Linked DNA regions of Lonchura striata. The protein of the gene in region 1 purifies or fractionates together with the protein of each later gene. This does not show direct contact. Links are inferred from orthologs where the notes say so. Each region holds a gene or a part of one and is shown on either strand. Other genes may lie near its edges. The genes, in order: DYNC1I1 and BICD2.

Region 1 (8,251 bases):
TTCCCTTTAGAATCTACTCTATATAATGCACTTCTACTTTTAATCATATGAATAATTTGCCATAACATTCAATTTGTTGTCAAAAATAGCACTTATCTGCTTTCATACACTTTAATACATTTTCATGATGTATGACATTCACACATCACCTTGGATGTACCACTGATTTTAATTTTGGTAAAGCTAAGCTTCAAGTTAATATTTGGGAGATCTCAGGAATTCTATAAAGGAGTAGTACCCTTTGGTATTTGCAAAAAATGTAAATTGTTGTTGTTTTAAATCAAACATAAAGTTCTGGACTTCAAACCAAAGGTGCTGTGGGGAAATGAGACAACCTTTTATAAAAAGAGCACAATAATTGTAAAGATAGCTGGGTGCTGCTGCTAATTCTGTAAACTCAGACTTTTCTTTTGTTCCCTTCAACAAATCTATTGAGTTCTCAGGAACTCAAAACAGAGGTGAGTGGAGACAACTGTGTAGTTTGGTCTTTAAGAGAGCATTCCAGATTCTGTGTTCCCTAAACTGTCCAGTCCTGCCTGAAGCCCATTTCATTTTCAGGGACTGCCACACAAACTATGGAGATGTCCTTTTGTAGCTTCTTCAGTAATTCAGAACATGAGCACAGTAGCAAAGCACAGTAAAATACTTCAAGCCTGAAGTCCTCTCCATGCTGCTGAGTCTTCATGACCTCTGCCAGGAAGTGTCTCCCAGAATGTTCCACTTCCTTCCCAGGTTAGCTGCTTTGCTGACAAGTTTCCAAGCCCTTCCCAGTATACTGAATCTTTTCAAATAAAAGGAATTGGTTGCATTACATGGCAAGCACCTGCTACTTACAAAGGCAGTAACAAAATTTCTGGAGCCTTTCTTTCTTTTGCAGGCCATTTCTGTACCTTGGTTACAGGTGCAAAATCAGAAGCTGGACAATTATGTGTTTTAACAGGCAGTCTCAGGTGTGAAGTCAAGTTAATGATTCCTATTTCAGATGTACAGAACTGTTGAATTTTTGGTGACAATGTTGTAGGAAAATGAGGAACAAAGGAACAAATCAAGAAGGCTTAGAAAAGAACCTGTTGCTAAAATAATTGTTTCTAGGAGCACACAGTTGCAACATGTTTGGAGAGTCACCCAAATCCAGAACAGCGTGGAACTCACCCACCTGCCACAGATCTCCCTTTACCTTCTACTTGTATACATCATCTCTTATTACTGATGCTTTTTCTGATAAAGAATTTATCCTTTTTAGGATATGTGGGAGTTTTTTTGCTTTGTACACGTGTTTCAGCAAAGATCTTAGAACTGGTAATCTGCCAATAGATCAATTGACAGAGGAATTATTAGCAACTGTGTACCAGATGCATTTAAAATCTTTCTTTTTTATCTTGAATGTACTGTGGATATTCAGACTTGTGGAAATTTCAACTCAGTGATCTGCCTGGAGATCTAACTGATTTCAGCAAACAGTAAATAAAGCCCTCCAATACTTTCCTAGTAACTTTTTTCCTTTTTAACTGAGCAACCACCCATACATTTCTTACATGAGTAACTAACTAGTTCACTTGTGAAGGACAGATTTTTGAAGGCATGTGGAATAGTGCCCTATAGTGACTTAGCTGCTGCAGCAATAAACCTGACTTCAGAAGTGATATTCCTCACTTTTTCTAAAATTTTCATTCTGCCTTTTGATCCTTTGTTTAAATCATTGCTTTTGAAAAGCTGGAAGGCATTTTGTAACATCCTCTGTTATTTGCCAAGCCTAGATTATGCCTACCATGCCAAGTGTCTAAAATGTACTTTCATTTCCACTAAGCCTTAGAAATGTCTGCTTTGAAATTAATTTTTAACCTTCAAGTGGCACAAACTTCCTAGAGGGTTTGCTCACTTATTAATGCCCGCTGTGATGTAGGAGTTTCTGGTGCCTAAGGCATGGAAATGCAATGCACTAATTATTACTATTTGTCTTATGTTGCATCATAAACAGTTATTCGTTTGCCAGAGCAATTTATACCCATCTTCATTAATAACTTAAATGTGAACAACTCTATATACAGTAACTTCAAAAAGAAAACATTGCAAATTGCTTTCCCTTGAACTTTTCCAATCTAGCAATTAACCACATATTGCACTTATTAATGTGCACACCCTCTTCTAGCTTACACACATTTTACATGTGTGTAAGTTTGAAGAGGGGAGACAGGCAAACAATGAATTTTTGTAATTTTAACAATAGCCTTTTTCTACACAATCCATAGTCTGTGATGGACCTCAGACTTTCCCTTAATCTTTGATTTCTCTTCAGATGACAGTGTGGTGGCTGTGTGTGTCCATGTAAAACTGACCTCTGCTGCAGAGAAGGCAGCTTATTAGACATCTGTAATTGCCGACCAGTTTGCCCTCTGTTGTTCTCACAAATCAATCTGGGGCTACAATAACCACCTTCTGAACTCACAGAATGAGAACATAAAAGTTTTGAAAATAATCTTTACTCTGTGCTACTGCACTTTCACCTGATGACTAAGAATATGTAATCAGAAATGCTACTAGCAGAATATATTGAGTTGGATAATATTATGGATTTGTGTTTAATGGGAAAATGTAAAATTAGTGTGGTATACTGAAATTACTGGATATTTTTCATTAAAATGAGTTACAAATACATTATTGATCATAAATATTTTGTTTTGAAAAGTGAATATAATCATATCTTCTTGGTGTATGAAGATTTTATCTCTGCTTTGTAAAATTAGTGACAACTAATAGAGACCTTTCATGCCTAGAGCAAGAAATCCACAAAAATGGTGAGACCTTTTGTTATGGAAGCTTAGAGAAGAAAATGGTGAGATTGAGGTCATAGAGGACAGAGCATCACTTATAGGGAAATTTGTTATTCCTTCAGAGAATAACAAATTTCCCTTCTTAACTGGGCTGCTCATAAATTTTTCTTGAGTTCCTGCAGGTTGTTACTTGTAGGAACATCTAGCCTTTACTATCCAGGATTGATTCTCTCCAAATTTTCTTACAACAGTTTATTGTGAGGAGAAATTTGTGGGTTTGTTAATATACTACCCTGGCCACTGAAGTTATTTCTGAATTCTTCTGTATACAATTCCCCATTTTAAAGTAATAATTTTACTAAATCTGTCATTCTGTTTGATGAGGATTTTTAAACATTTTTTCTTTGACACATACACTTACATCTTTTATTTTTATACTTTTAAAAGACTGAATCACCTCTGGCAAATGTGAATGTAATAGATATCAAAATTGTGTCCCATTGAACTGGGGTTTACAGGATTTTTTAAAGAAACATCTCATGTAGTTATTACTAGAACACAAAATATCATTACTCTGTAACAAAAAAATTAGGGCTTAACAAGCTCAGGAAACACATTTATGACATATATTAGTATGCCTGGTATCATCATGCAATGTGATGTCATGATATGTGTGTGATACCATGGCATCATGGTTATATGGATAGGACAGCATCTTAACAATAGCAGAATCTCATCAGGCTCCATGGACAACCAGCCTCATCTGTCAATTCAAGAATATTAAATTACTCCAAGGCCCTCTTAGGTCAGGAATAATTTAAAGCAATCTGCTGAGTTTGCAGGGAATTTGCAAGTGGCATGCAATTCAAAGGAACCTAAACAAACCCTATGGCATTTGTGTTAAAGCTAAGGCAAACTCCCCAACACTTTTAAAAGCAAAAATCAGTTTCTGAAGTTCAATTTCAGGTGTTTGATATTGAAAGGGCCTTGTTTTAATGAATAGTTGCAAACCAAATGTGCCAAACAAAAAACTTTTCAAATTGTGCCTTTAAAACTACAGGGTTGCTTTCCACATTCTCCAACATGCAGAAGCAGAAGATGCTGCTCTTGAAGGACTTCACAGGAGAGCGAAAGATTTATCATTCCTGATCCTGATTCAACTCCAATTAAATTGAGAAACTGTTATTTCCTAACTGTATCCACACCAGCAATGGAGGCTTTTGCTCCTTTTCAGGATTTTTTTCTCCTGGCCAGGTGCAGTCTGTCTAGGTCTGGCAGGAACTGGAGGTGATGTGAATTCTTTATGGCTTTCCAGTGGGCTGGGTATATACTTTACTCTTCCCAGGACAAGCCCTAGACCTCGAATGACAGTGGCTGGAATAAGTGTTTCCCACCAAAGGAAAACAAGAGATTAGGATCCAGGGACAGGGTTCTGGAGGTACCTCTTGGACCAGAGGGATAGGCAACACTGAGTGGTACATCTAGGACATCATGTTTTCAAAGAACAAACCAAAATGTTTTGTTCTTTAAAACAACCAATGGTACCAAAAGGTACGTGTTTTCCACGTGTGTGGGCAGCATACCTGAGTGCAATAGGGGAGCAGGAAGCTGGGTTATCTCCACTGGAGGTGGGTGCTATTTTGCAGGAGCATGGACTATCCTAAATAGCTCTGCTTGGCACCTCTCCCCCAGGAGATGGATATGTCTGTATGTGGAGAGAAGCAGGGGCAATGCTAGAAATCTGGCCCTCTTGTCTGGTACCTGTACCCATGAATGGTATGAGGAAACACGGGCAAAACAAAACGTCTGCCTTTGGGCAGTCTTGTCCTTATTTAGCCATGAAAGCATCTGTTCTGGAGCTCTCCCTGTTCTTCGAGAAAGGGACAGGACTAAGCAGGAGCCTGGAGCCATGACAGTTGACTAGGCTGCTACGGGAGTGATGGCCAGGCTGCCGAGGGGGTGACGGTGAGGCTGGCCTGGGAGGATATTCTAGGCAGCTTAGAGGGCGATGGCTAAGCCTCTGTGGGGCTGCCAGCTGCTGCCATCAGGATGGTGGTGGGGATGCTGCCTGGGCTGTCGTGGGGCTGCCGGTTGCTACCATGCGATGGTGTCAGGATGCTGTCTGTGGAGGCGGCGGTGGATGCTGCCTGGGCTGTCGTGGGGCTGACGGTGAAGCCGGTGTTGTGCTGACAGCCGCGCAGCTGCCGGCTCGGCTGCTCCCGGGGCGAAGCCTGCGCCACTGTGGGGGTGACACAGGGGAACATCGCGGAGCCGAGCGAGCGCACTTCAGGCCGGAGTTGCCGGGGGGCCGGGCGGGGACACTGAGCCGGCCCCTCCGCCGCCACCTGCCCCGCGGCCCCGCCCCGGCCCCGGGGCGGCAGAGGGGGTGTCTGTACCGGGGCCGCGCGGGCGGAGGAGGAGGAGGAGGCGGGAGGAGGAAAGCGGCAGCAGCAGCTCTCGGGAGGAGCCTGTCCACCGTGAGACAGCATATTCAGCGGCGGCGGCGGCGGTGCTGCCGCAGCGGCGGGCAGCACGGCTCGGCTCGGCTCGGCTCGGCACGACAGGGCGCAGCTACTGGCAGCAGCCCTTCAGTCAGCGGGGCATCCCTCTGCTCCCCCGGCGGCGCGGGCTCGGTGAGGGCTGCAAGGCGCCGGGAGCCGCTCCGCATCTCCCGGGCGCCGGCGGAGGTGAGGCACCCGCGGGGCGGCGGGGCCGGGACGCGGCGGGGCCGGACCGGAGGGGCGAGTGGGGGCTGCCCTTGGGCCCGGCGCTGGCGGCGGAGGAGCGGGGCGGGAGTCGCTCCGCGGGATGCGCAGCGGCCGCGGAGCCTGGTGCGGCCGCCGGAGGCGCTCCCCGGGCAGGCGGCCCGGCTGGGCGAGCGGGCATCCCGGCTGGGCGGGCGGGCATCCCGGCTGGGCGGGCGGGCATCCCGGCTGGGCGAGCGGGCATCCCGGCTGGGCGAGCGGGCATCCCGGCTGGGCGAGCGGGCATCCCGGCTGGGCGGGCGGGCATCCCGGCTGGGCGGGCGGGCATCCCGACTGGGCGAGCGGGCATCCCGGCTGGGCGAGCGGGCATCCCGGCTGGACTAGCGGGCATCCCGGCTGGGCGGGCGGGCATCCCGGCTGGGCGGGCGGGCATCCCCGGCTGCCCGCGGAGCCGGCCAGCCCTCGCCTTGGGTGGGCTCTGGCGGCCTGGCGCTCGTCGGCGGGGGGGCTGCGGTGAGCGAGCCTCGGCACCTGCTCCGGTCCCTGGGGCGCCTCCCGGCCCCGGGGCTGAGTGACGGCCGCAGGCTCTCGGCTGCCGCCTGAGCGCCCAACAGCTTAAAGCAAAAGGGGGTGGTAAAAGTTTTTCATCTGTAATTCTTCACACAGCGTGAGCGGTAGCGGGTTTGCTCAAGTCCAGGACGACAGCGGACAGTAAATAGATCTTTCATTTAAGGTAATTCCCTAAAAGGGTGAGAGATGGAGGGAGTCAGCCAGAGGCCTTTTTTCACTGGTAGTCCAGTGAAATAGATTTTCAAAAGGATGATATTGCAGTTACATCATCCCGGGAATCCCCTATGGTCAGCAGAGAAGAACATAAGGCCCCAGATTTCCTAGACAAAGCCCCTGTTTTATGAACTGGAAGAAAGTTTGTTTTTCTGTCCATACTGCCATTGACAGAAAGTAAATATTTGAGCTATAAATGCATATAACATAAGGATTCTTGGCAGATCAAACAATCTAGCCTGATAATATAGAGGGCATGAGATGGAAGGACCTGACATGAAGCTGGCATATGACTTTCATACCTGGAAATTTATCCTGACATACAGGATTTTGTCAGTGCTTCACTTCTGATTGAAGTCTTTAAATAACATTGGAAATTGCACTAAATATCATGAAGCATGGGACTGCAAAACCTGTTTCAGAATGGAAATCCCAGGTCCCAGGACTGCCTGCGTCTTGATAGATGGTGTTATCAGAGCAATTGGGGAATTTAAGTTCTGTTACCACCAATGTGTTTTGTTGAAGTGCCTCATCTGTTCTTGCTAAGTTAAGGGGGAAGGTTACCTGTTTGCGATTCTGATTCTTTTAAGCTCTTTTTTTTTTTGTTTTTATTTTCTTTTGAGGGGGCATCTCTAGTAACATTCTCCATATTTAGTGAAGGCAAATAAAATTCCTTTTATAATTTGCAGCATTTTTCTGCAAGAAATGGTTTCTTTAATACAAACTTTGGGGCTACATCTGGGTCTTCACCCAGATGGGAGTGCTCACTCACCAGTGCATCCTCTGCTTTGTTTTCTTTTCCCAAAATCATCCATTTATAGTTCATAAAAATACAAAAATGTGTTGTCTCTTCTGAACTTTCTCTGTGGACAGACTGATTTGAAGATTGGGACTTACCATCATCTTCCTTGTTAAGCAGGACTTCTGAGGGCCAGGTATATGGAGATCCAAATGATGGTTTAGAGTTAGATTGGCTAGATTTCTCTCAGCTCTAAGCACCTCTGCCTCTAATTAGTCTACCATAAAAATTCACTAACTGTAGTGCTGCCTTATCCACAGTTTAGGAGAGGAATCTTTAAAGGAGCAGCAATAAAACACACCTTACACATGCAGTAATTACTGGAAGTTTGGAGATCTGGCTACTCAAAGAATACACAGGGAAATATTCCTTTGTAGCCAGCAGATCTTAAATTAAGAAGCTGACCTTCCAGCTCTTTCTATAGGAGGAAGGGCAGTGAACTGCCCTCCTTTGTGATGCCTTTCAGTGGGTATTTTTTTCATTATTGGAATGTGTTTGTTTTTCAGTGTATTTTTCCAACTTCAGGTTTCTAGTTCCTGTTATGCCTCCCATAGATAAAAGCTTTGCTTTAGCAGCTGTCTTCAGTGTAGATATTCTAAATGATGCAATGAGAACTTACCTGCCTTATTTTTAAATAAGTTAACAGATTCGGTCTCTTGGTCTTCTTTTCTTTTGTAAGACAGGTTTCAAAAAGCATTCCTTGCTGCCCTCTGTTTTCCAGAATGCAAGAAGAGAGAGGGGGAATACTAGACTGAGCTAGTTGCTCTAATAATGGGCTGTGTTAGAGGCACCACCATTGCAGGATATTGGACAATGATGTGAAATGGGCTGGAAGGGAAAAAGATAAGGGATTGAAGTAGAAAAAACATTTAGAGTAGAGAAAGGCAATATTTTTTTGAAAACTTCATTTACTCTTGCTAGTGTATCAGTTAATCATGTGGTATCTTTCAGCTCCTCAAACTTAACTTCTCACAGAGATTTTAAACATATTTGTGGTCACTCTCTAGGACTACTTAACCAGGGCTATGCCTCAAGTGCCCTGTTGAGCTCCTTTGGCTTGGTTTGACTGGCAGCAGAATTAGGAATCTTTCAGAGTTACCAACACCTAGTGCCAAAATGAGTTGCTGCTTGGAGGTGGTGGTGGGATGTTAACAGGATTGTCCTCCTTGTCATTTCCATGGGCTTTAATTTTC
Region 2 (7,183 bases), on another chromosome or scaffold:
GATTGCAAATACTGAGTACACTGACACCTTTACCAAATGAGAGCCAAATGGTTCTGACAATGCCATTCACACTCACCAAAGGGATACAACAGTGGAGATTAAGGCTCTGAAATTTCTGAATTTCACTGGATGGCAAGAAAGAGAATCTGGCCAGAAAGATCTGATGACTATAGCAGAAAAGCCTGTACTTTCAACAAACTGCATTACAAAGTTCCCGTGCTCTGAACCTATTTACTTACAGTATGAACAGGGCCGTGATACAGGAGTTATTCATAATATCAAACTAATTAAAGCATATCCAAATCTACAATACCCAGCAGGACAGAAAACCTCCGCATGCTTGCCCCACACCCTGCCTAACATGGCCTTGTGCCGCTTAGCTCTCTCAACATAGATGAACAAAGTAACCTCTATAGAGAGTAAAAGGGCTGTATCTTAAAAGCCTGCATGAAGTTACAGTTAATAAGCAAGAGCTGGAAAGCAATATAGTTCTAGTTTCACATCAATCTCCCACATTCCCCAAGAACAACTTAAGTAACCCCTTAGGGTTACAACTTAAGTAATCCCTTTAGGTTGGAGCGTGACATGTAATAAGTCTTGTATGCAGCGCTCCTCTAGCTGAGTGTGGGAAAAACAAGAAGTTGCATAAAACAGCATGATGATAAACTCCTCCTCTGAGCATACACTTCATACATCTGCTAAAGGTTTACAAGATCTACAGCAAATCAGATTCCTGCACAGCATCACAAGAAAGCTAGAGGAGCAATGCTCTTTCCCTGAGTAAGCTATCAGAGTCCTTAAGCTGTTCTCCGAGAATTGTCTGCTTCCCAGGTTTTGACTTAATTAGAGTGGGACATTAACACACAAAGCAAATCCTTCAAAATGTTAAAAGCAAAAAAGAGTGAATCATTGCTGATTCTGCTTTTCTTTTTTCTTTTTAATCTCTTTTACAAGCCTTTCACTTGTTACAGCCCTAAAAGAATGAAAAGACAGTACCATCAAGCTTTTTTTCATCTGCAAGTCAAAACATGTAATGCCCAAACACACATAGCAGAGCCCAGTGACTAAAGCCACTACCTGTGATGGAGGCATCCTGCTCCCACTGGTGTGTCAGGCACTGCCTTGCTGAATGAGGTTGGGCTATTCCTATAGCCTCTCCACGCTATGTCTCGCATTCCACCTATCAACTGAGTTTACTGACTTTCTCTCCCTTGAGCTCAACTCTACAACTGCCTCTGCCCTTGACTTCCAAGTTTCTGCTCCTGTATGCTGCTGTGCTGGTCTCAAGTGGCTTTAGGAACAGCAGCATATCCGTTCAGCTTATTTAGTTAACAAGTTTATAGCCATGTAATTCAAAGTAGTTAACCTCTTTGCTTATGCTTGTTTAATGCAATAAAAGCAAAATAAAGCTTTATTTACAAGACTAAAAGATATATAGTAAGCAGGAAGGGAGGGCATTCACAAATTCAGCTGATTTTGTACCAGTCTGCTACAAGGATTTACTTTTCCTTTGAAATACTGTATTCTGATTTTACTTAAAATCCATCTCCAACTGAATAAACTAAAGCTAAGCTCCATTGGATACAATTTGTACAGGTCAAATCCACCTATATTCACCTCTTAGGCTGTATCAGATGTTTTGCAATCAAGGCAAGGCCTAAATCAGCTGAAAAGCAGCACAAGGTTTGCCAGTATGCCAAATCACTGAACCAAACAAAGCTATATGCAGACAAGTTCCCATGGGCCATGCTCTACAGTGGGCTGACAGAATCAGCTCATAAGGAGTGCAAAGCTCAAGTCTACATGCCTGGACAGCACTTTTCCCACATTCTACACCTAGAGATCTTGCACGAGAAAAACTTAACGTGCAAATTGCCTCATACAGCGTTTCTACTGACAAACTTTACTCTCCTGTACAGATTAGATCTGGAATTCCCCTTAAAATAGGAAGTAATTTAAAAATATGCCAACGGTAGGACCTGCACCAAAACAAAGTTATATGAACTGAAGTCTGCTCTACTATTTTTGTGGCGGTCCCCATTGAGGAAGTGATTAACACCAACGTAAGATTTCTCCTTCCACACGAAAGCAGGCATATGACAGCATCGCCACCGCACCTTGGCCCCGGCCTTCGCCCCCCGCCGCCTGCCTGTGTTTCGCCCGGGGGCGCGGCGGCGACAGCCCCAACCCCCGGGAGGGGCAACCCCAACCGGGCTTCACGCCCTGCAGCAGTCCTGGGGCGGCCCACCTACCGGATCCTGAGACGAAACGGAACGGGACGGAAAGAGAAAAGCGTCCACCCGTTTCCCATATCCCCCTTCACAGGAGCGGGGCTCGGAGCAGAAAGGCCTTTTTTTCCATCCCTTCCCTCTTCTGGGCTGGCCCGCAACTAGGCACCTGGGAGCTGTCATTTTGGGGAGGGGCAAACGCTCTGCCGGAGCCAGGCCGAAGCCTAGGAACCCGCCGGTCGCCCCACAGCAGCCCCAGGGCCCCTCAGGTTGCCGGCCCCTGACTCCAAGCCAGCCCCGTTCCCACTGCTCCGCGCTGCCTTCACCCTTGCACCCGCCACGGCCGCGCCCGGATCCAGGCCGCCCACCTGCCACCGCCCCCGCCTCACCTCCTTTAGCTGCTCCATCTCGGTGCGGATGGTCTCGTACTCCAGCTCTAGCTCCTCATACTGCTGCTTCAACTGCTGCTTCTCCTCCAGCACTGCCAGCCCGTACTCCGCCGCCTGGATCTTCTCCCGGGTGGTCTCGCCCAGCTCCTGGAAGAGACGCTTGATCTCGCTCCGCAGCCACTCGGGCTCCGACTCCATCACCAGCCGGGCGTACTCCTCCTCCTCCATGGCCTGCGACATGTCGGCGAAGGGACCTCCGACCGCCGAGGCGGTTGGGCGAAAGGCTGAACGCGCAGCCCTCCTAACCTAAGTTTACTACTTCTAACAGCGGCACGGCCCGCGGACAGCTAGGGCAGGGCCCGCTCGGGCCGCCATCGACGGGCCTAGCGCGCGCTGCTCCCGCCGCAGATCCTCCCTGGAACCCGCTCGCCGCAAGCGCCGAGCGCAGTGAAATCATTCAAAAGGCACGGCCGGGCCGGCGCCCCGCGGGACACTGGGAGCGGGAGTCCTCGGTTCTCGACGCGCCGCGCGCCGCGCGTCTCGCCGGACTACAGCTCCCGACAAACACCGCGACAAGTGGGTGTGGTGGCGGGCGGGGAGGAGCGCGACCTCTGCCGGGCGACGCGGGGTAGCGCGACGGCGAGAGCGTAGGGCCGGCGTTGCCCGGGGGCGGCGTGGCCCGACAGCGAACGCACCTCAGGACCCCCCCCTACTGACCCCGGATACAAATTCGGGCACAGGCCCCGGGACCAGGGCATATACCCCATGCACAGAGCCCGTGTACACACCCTGGCGGCCCGGACCACGCTCCGGAGGGCTTTCGAGGCGGGTTTGAGAAAGCGTCGGAATCGGCTGGGTATGAAAGATAGCCCGTGCACCAGAGCGTGTGTGTCGGGGAGACGTTCCGGTGCGGCGGGCGGTGCCACAGCAGCACGGAGAGGACAGAGGGTCACAGGAGAAGGCTGGCCCCAGCCCCACACCATACCGAGCGGTGTTCTGCATCTACAGGTGGAATACCTGCTACAAGGCGTTCTCTGCTCACCGACAGGGACCAAGCCACGTCCCCCGAGTCATTCCGAGGATAACCACGGCCGCGGGGCAAGGTCTTCCCCTATGGCTGAGCTACCTGATGAAAGGACGGATAGATCGCATGAAGAGCCAGTGCCGTGACCAGCTATGGGGCAGTGACACTTGGGCAGCTGTACTGTGCTGCCTGCAAAGGATTTGCCACCTTGTGAGGAAAATGCCATCAGTCTTTGCCCCAGGTTGCACCTATTGGGCATGTTTGGTGGCAAAAGCACAGGGATTGGGACACTGATTGGGGCACCGTGGGAAGAAGTAATTTTTAAAGCATAGTGATGACTGAACAGAGACAAACCTCTACTAGTTAGGCCATTGCAATTCCTAAGCAGCCCCATAAAGGTGGGGGGGGTGTGTCCCTGTGGGGTGGGGAGATGCTTCACTCCCATGGTCAGGAGCCCTACAGCTTCATCATCCTTTCATACAGCAAGTGCGGCTTGGACTTTCTTTCAGTGTCAAAAACAATCAGTAATGAACTGGTGAGCAAATAGCAAGCATAATAAAAACAATTACATGTTTGAGCACTCCACAAGGTCTCAAACATGAAGCAACATATTTACTCACAGCTGCAGGGTTTTTTCAAGCTACTTTGAACTTCTGCCTACGCACTTATCCCTTTAATAAGCTGTGTCATGGTTGAATGCTGCCTGTTAGTCATGAAGCTGCCTTAGTCAATTTTTCTTCAGGGTCCTGACACCTCCTGCAGCTCCCTGTGCATCAGGTGCAGATATGCATTTGCCCTCTGAGCACTGATGTGACACTCAGTCACCCAGACCTTAGAAGCAGCAAATCAATGTCCTCAGCCTGGAGTGTGCGTATGAAATTGCTTTAGTTTTTTACTTTCAGGATTCTTAGTAGAAGTCTTTTCATTCTTGTGTACCTCTATACCATCATGACTGTCACAGAATATTTTTGGGGGTTTGAACATTCTGATTCTTTGATAAAGATAAGGGAGAAAAATAACAGCATTACCTCTCCTCCACACTCTGTTTTTCAGTATTAGGATTTCTTCATGGCCTTTTATGTTTTTCTTCTGTCTGCCCAAGCAGGTAGCATTGCTAGTTGCACCCATTCACAACTGATTCATAATTAAGATATTTTTCATAATAAATACTGGCTTATTTTCTTTCACCTCATACTTTCCGAGCCTTCATTCCAGGTTTTCTCTGCAGCTCTGGGCTGAAGCACATTAGCTACCCTTCAGTGCTCCTCCCTCTCCTAAACTGAAACCTGCATGTAATGACTTGCTCTCAGGACACAGAACTTCAGTTCACATCCTGAATATTTCTGGGATTACAAGTGAATTGTGAGATCTGACTAGTTTGAGTGATTCATAGAGACGAGATGATCAACTCATCATAGCACAAGGGACTTTGCTGGATAATTTGTTTTCTAGGTCATATTTAGAACTATTGCTTTTTTCTAGGTTTCAAACTTTATTATTTTATAAACTGCCCAAGATGCAAAGGCAGAAATTATAAATACTGCAATAGCTAATTTGAAAGCATTCCTGCCCCCTTTTAGAAAACTGGAGTCACATGTCAAAGTTAAGGCTCCCATCATCCTTCAAGGTAATGATGCAGGATAATAAAAGCTTGTATAATGAGTGGCGGAGTACAACCTGGCTAGTGCCCATCACCTGCTCCTGAGCACAGCCAGAGACCATTGCCCATTTCCCCAGGTCATGTCCCTGAACTCCATCAATGCAAAGGCTTAGCTGGTACCCCACTGATTCAAGGTGTCATGGCCAAGTGTACTTTGGTGATACAGACTTACACAACTGTCGTGGTTTGACACGGAAAAAGAATTTTTTTGGAAGGAAGAGGTCAATTTGGATATCGACCAATTGAAGGTGGACACGCCTCTGAGAACACAGAGGGGTTAAAAGCAGAGTTCCCAGGAGAACTCGGTCTCTTTGGTTCCGGTCAGCGTGCAGTGCCCGGCCCGTGGCTGGATGGGGGAGGGGAAGGCCTGACTGAGGTAGGCTGGAGGGTGGAGGGGGCTGGAACCCCCTACAGATGGATGGAAGGGTGGAGAAATTGGGGATGTCTCTGTTCTCCCACAGAGGAGAGAGAGAGAGAGAGAGAGAGAGAGAAAGCAGCAGTTTGTCAGCAGTACGCCAGGGAAGGAGAAGAGAGGGGGTGCCACAAAGTGCCCAGCCACTGTGGGAGCCGGAGCCTGGGCAGCGAGCCATCCTTGGGAGTTGGGACTTTTAACCCTTCCTTGAGAAATGAAGGCTTTGTGAAATATTACTTCTCGGTTTGAAGGAGAGACAGCCTGGGACCTGAGATTGTGAGGGAAAGAAGGTTGGGGGGCGATGATGGAGTGGCTTTTGGCTGGACTTTTTCTTGGTAGCCACAGACTGAACTGATTTTCTCCTCCAAGAGAGACTGTATTTTAGGAGGATACCAGTGAGCCAAAGAGACCTGCTTCAGCTGGGAAAAGTCAGAAGTGGAGCAAACAGAGAAAAGTTAGGGAGGTTTGTGGTAGTGCCCCCTGTCTTCAGAGCAGAAGAAGAGAAGATTTCTGTTCTTGGACCCTTGGTGCTAGGGGGAAATGGGGGAGACTGCGGTCCCAAAAATGAAAAAAACTGTTGTTTTTTCCCTCTTGGCAGAGCATCCGTGAAAGGAAAAATCCTAAAAGCAGTCTCTCCATCCATCCATGCATTGGTGGTGAGAACACTGTGCATGGAAAGGAGAGGGTCACCACGGCAAACTTTTTCTCCGGGCGGTGCCATGAGTGACGTGGAAACAGGACGTGGCAGCTGAGTTTCTTGGGGGGTCTGTGGCACGGGAGGGACTCCTCTTTTCCTCAATGGACTGAGTATTGACTGACTGGAGAGTGGGAACCTGATTGGGGGTCCAGGTTGTGTCTCACTGTGGTTTGTTGGAGTTGGGTGGTGGGAGGAGGAATGTTTTGAAAGGTTTTCATTTTGAATTTTGTGTGTGTTTTTTCTTCTTTTTTTTTCCTTTATAGTAGTATAGTAGTAGTAGCTGAATAAAGTTTTTTTTCCCTTGAGTTTGGACCTACTTTTGCTCTGCTCTCGATCGCATTTCACAGAATTCAATTGAGAGGTTGCAATTTCATGGGGGCGCTGGCATTGTGCCAGTGACAAATCATGACAACAACACCTGGAGATTGTTGCTCTTCTTTTTCCTGTTGAGATTTTAAAGCTATCCACTGAGAACAAAGTGGTAGAATTATACAAGAACCATCTTAAATGCTAGAATAAATTTGGACAGTGTTTCTTCTTGTGGAAATTAACCTGCAGAAAAATTTTTCCCTAGGGGAAAAGTCATAGCAAAGGCAAAACCCTGCAATGCTCATTTTATTTAACCTCAGTCCAAATCCCAAAGCAGATAGGCACTATAATCCAATGCTGGAAAACATTGAGGTATCTGAATGTGTAAACCAGTCTAACTTGTGCTTAAAATTGGGGTCACTGCAGACAGGAAACTCCTTCTAGATGTCTTTCTTTTCATACAT

Evidence for each region.
Region 2: the proteins of DYNC1I1 (region 1) and BICD2 purify together in Homo sapiens (affinity purification with western blotting; 4 studies listed by BioGRID and IntAct, with this or other methods). This does not show direct contact. The link is inferred for Lonchura striata from reciprocal best matches to the Homo sapiens genes DYNC1I1 and BICD2.

The regions. Positions count from the first base shown.
Region 1 is NC_134603.1:132,300,847-132,309,097, reverse strand, and holds the start of DYNC1I1 (cytoplasmic dynein 1 intermediate chain 1), read left to right. Parts: upstream 1-5,114; 5' UTR 5,115-5,458; intron 5,459-6,142; 5' UTR 6,143-6,209; intron 6,210-8,251. UniProt on the Homo sapiens protein: Acts as one of several non-catalytic accessory components of the cytoplasmic dynein 1 complex that are thought to be involved in linking dynein to cargos and to adapter proteins that regulate dynein function.
Region 2 is NC_134614.1:541,687-548,869, reverse strand, and holds the start of BICD2 (protein bicaudal D homolog 2), read right to left. Parts: upstream 3,087-7,183; 5' UTR 2,858-3,086; coding exon 2,618-2,857; intron 1-2,617. UniProt on the Homo sapiens protein: Acts as an adapter protein linking the dynein motor complex to various cargos and converts dynein from a non-processive to a highly processive motor in the presence of dynactin.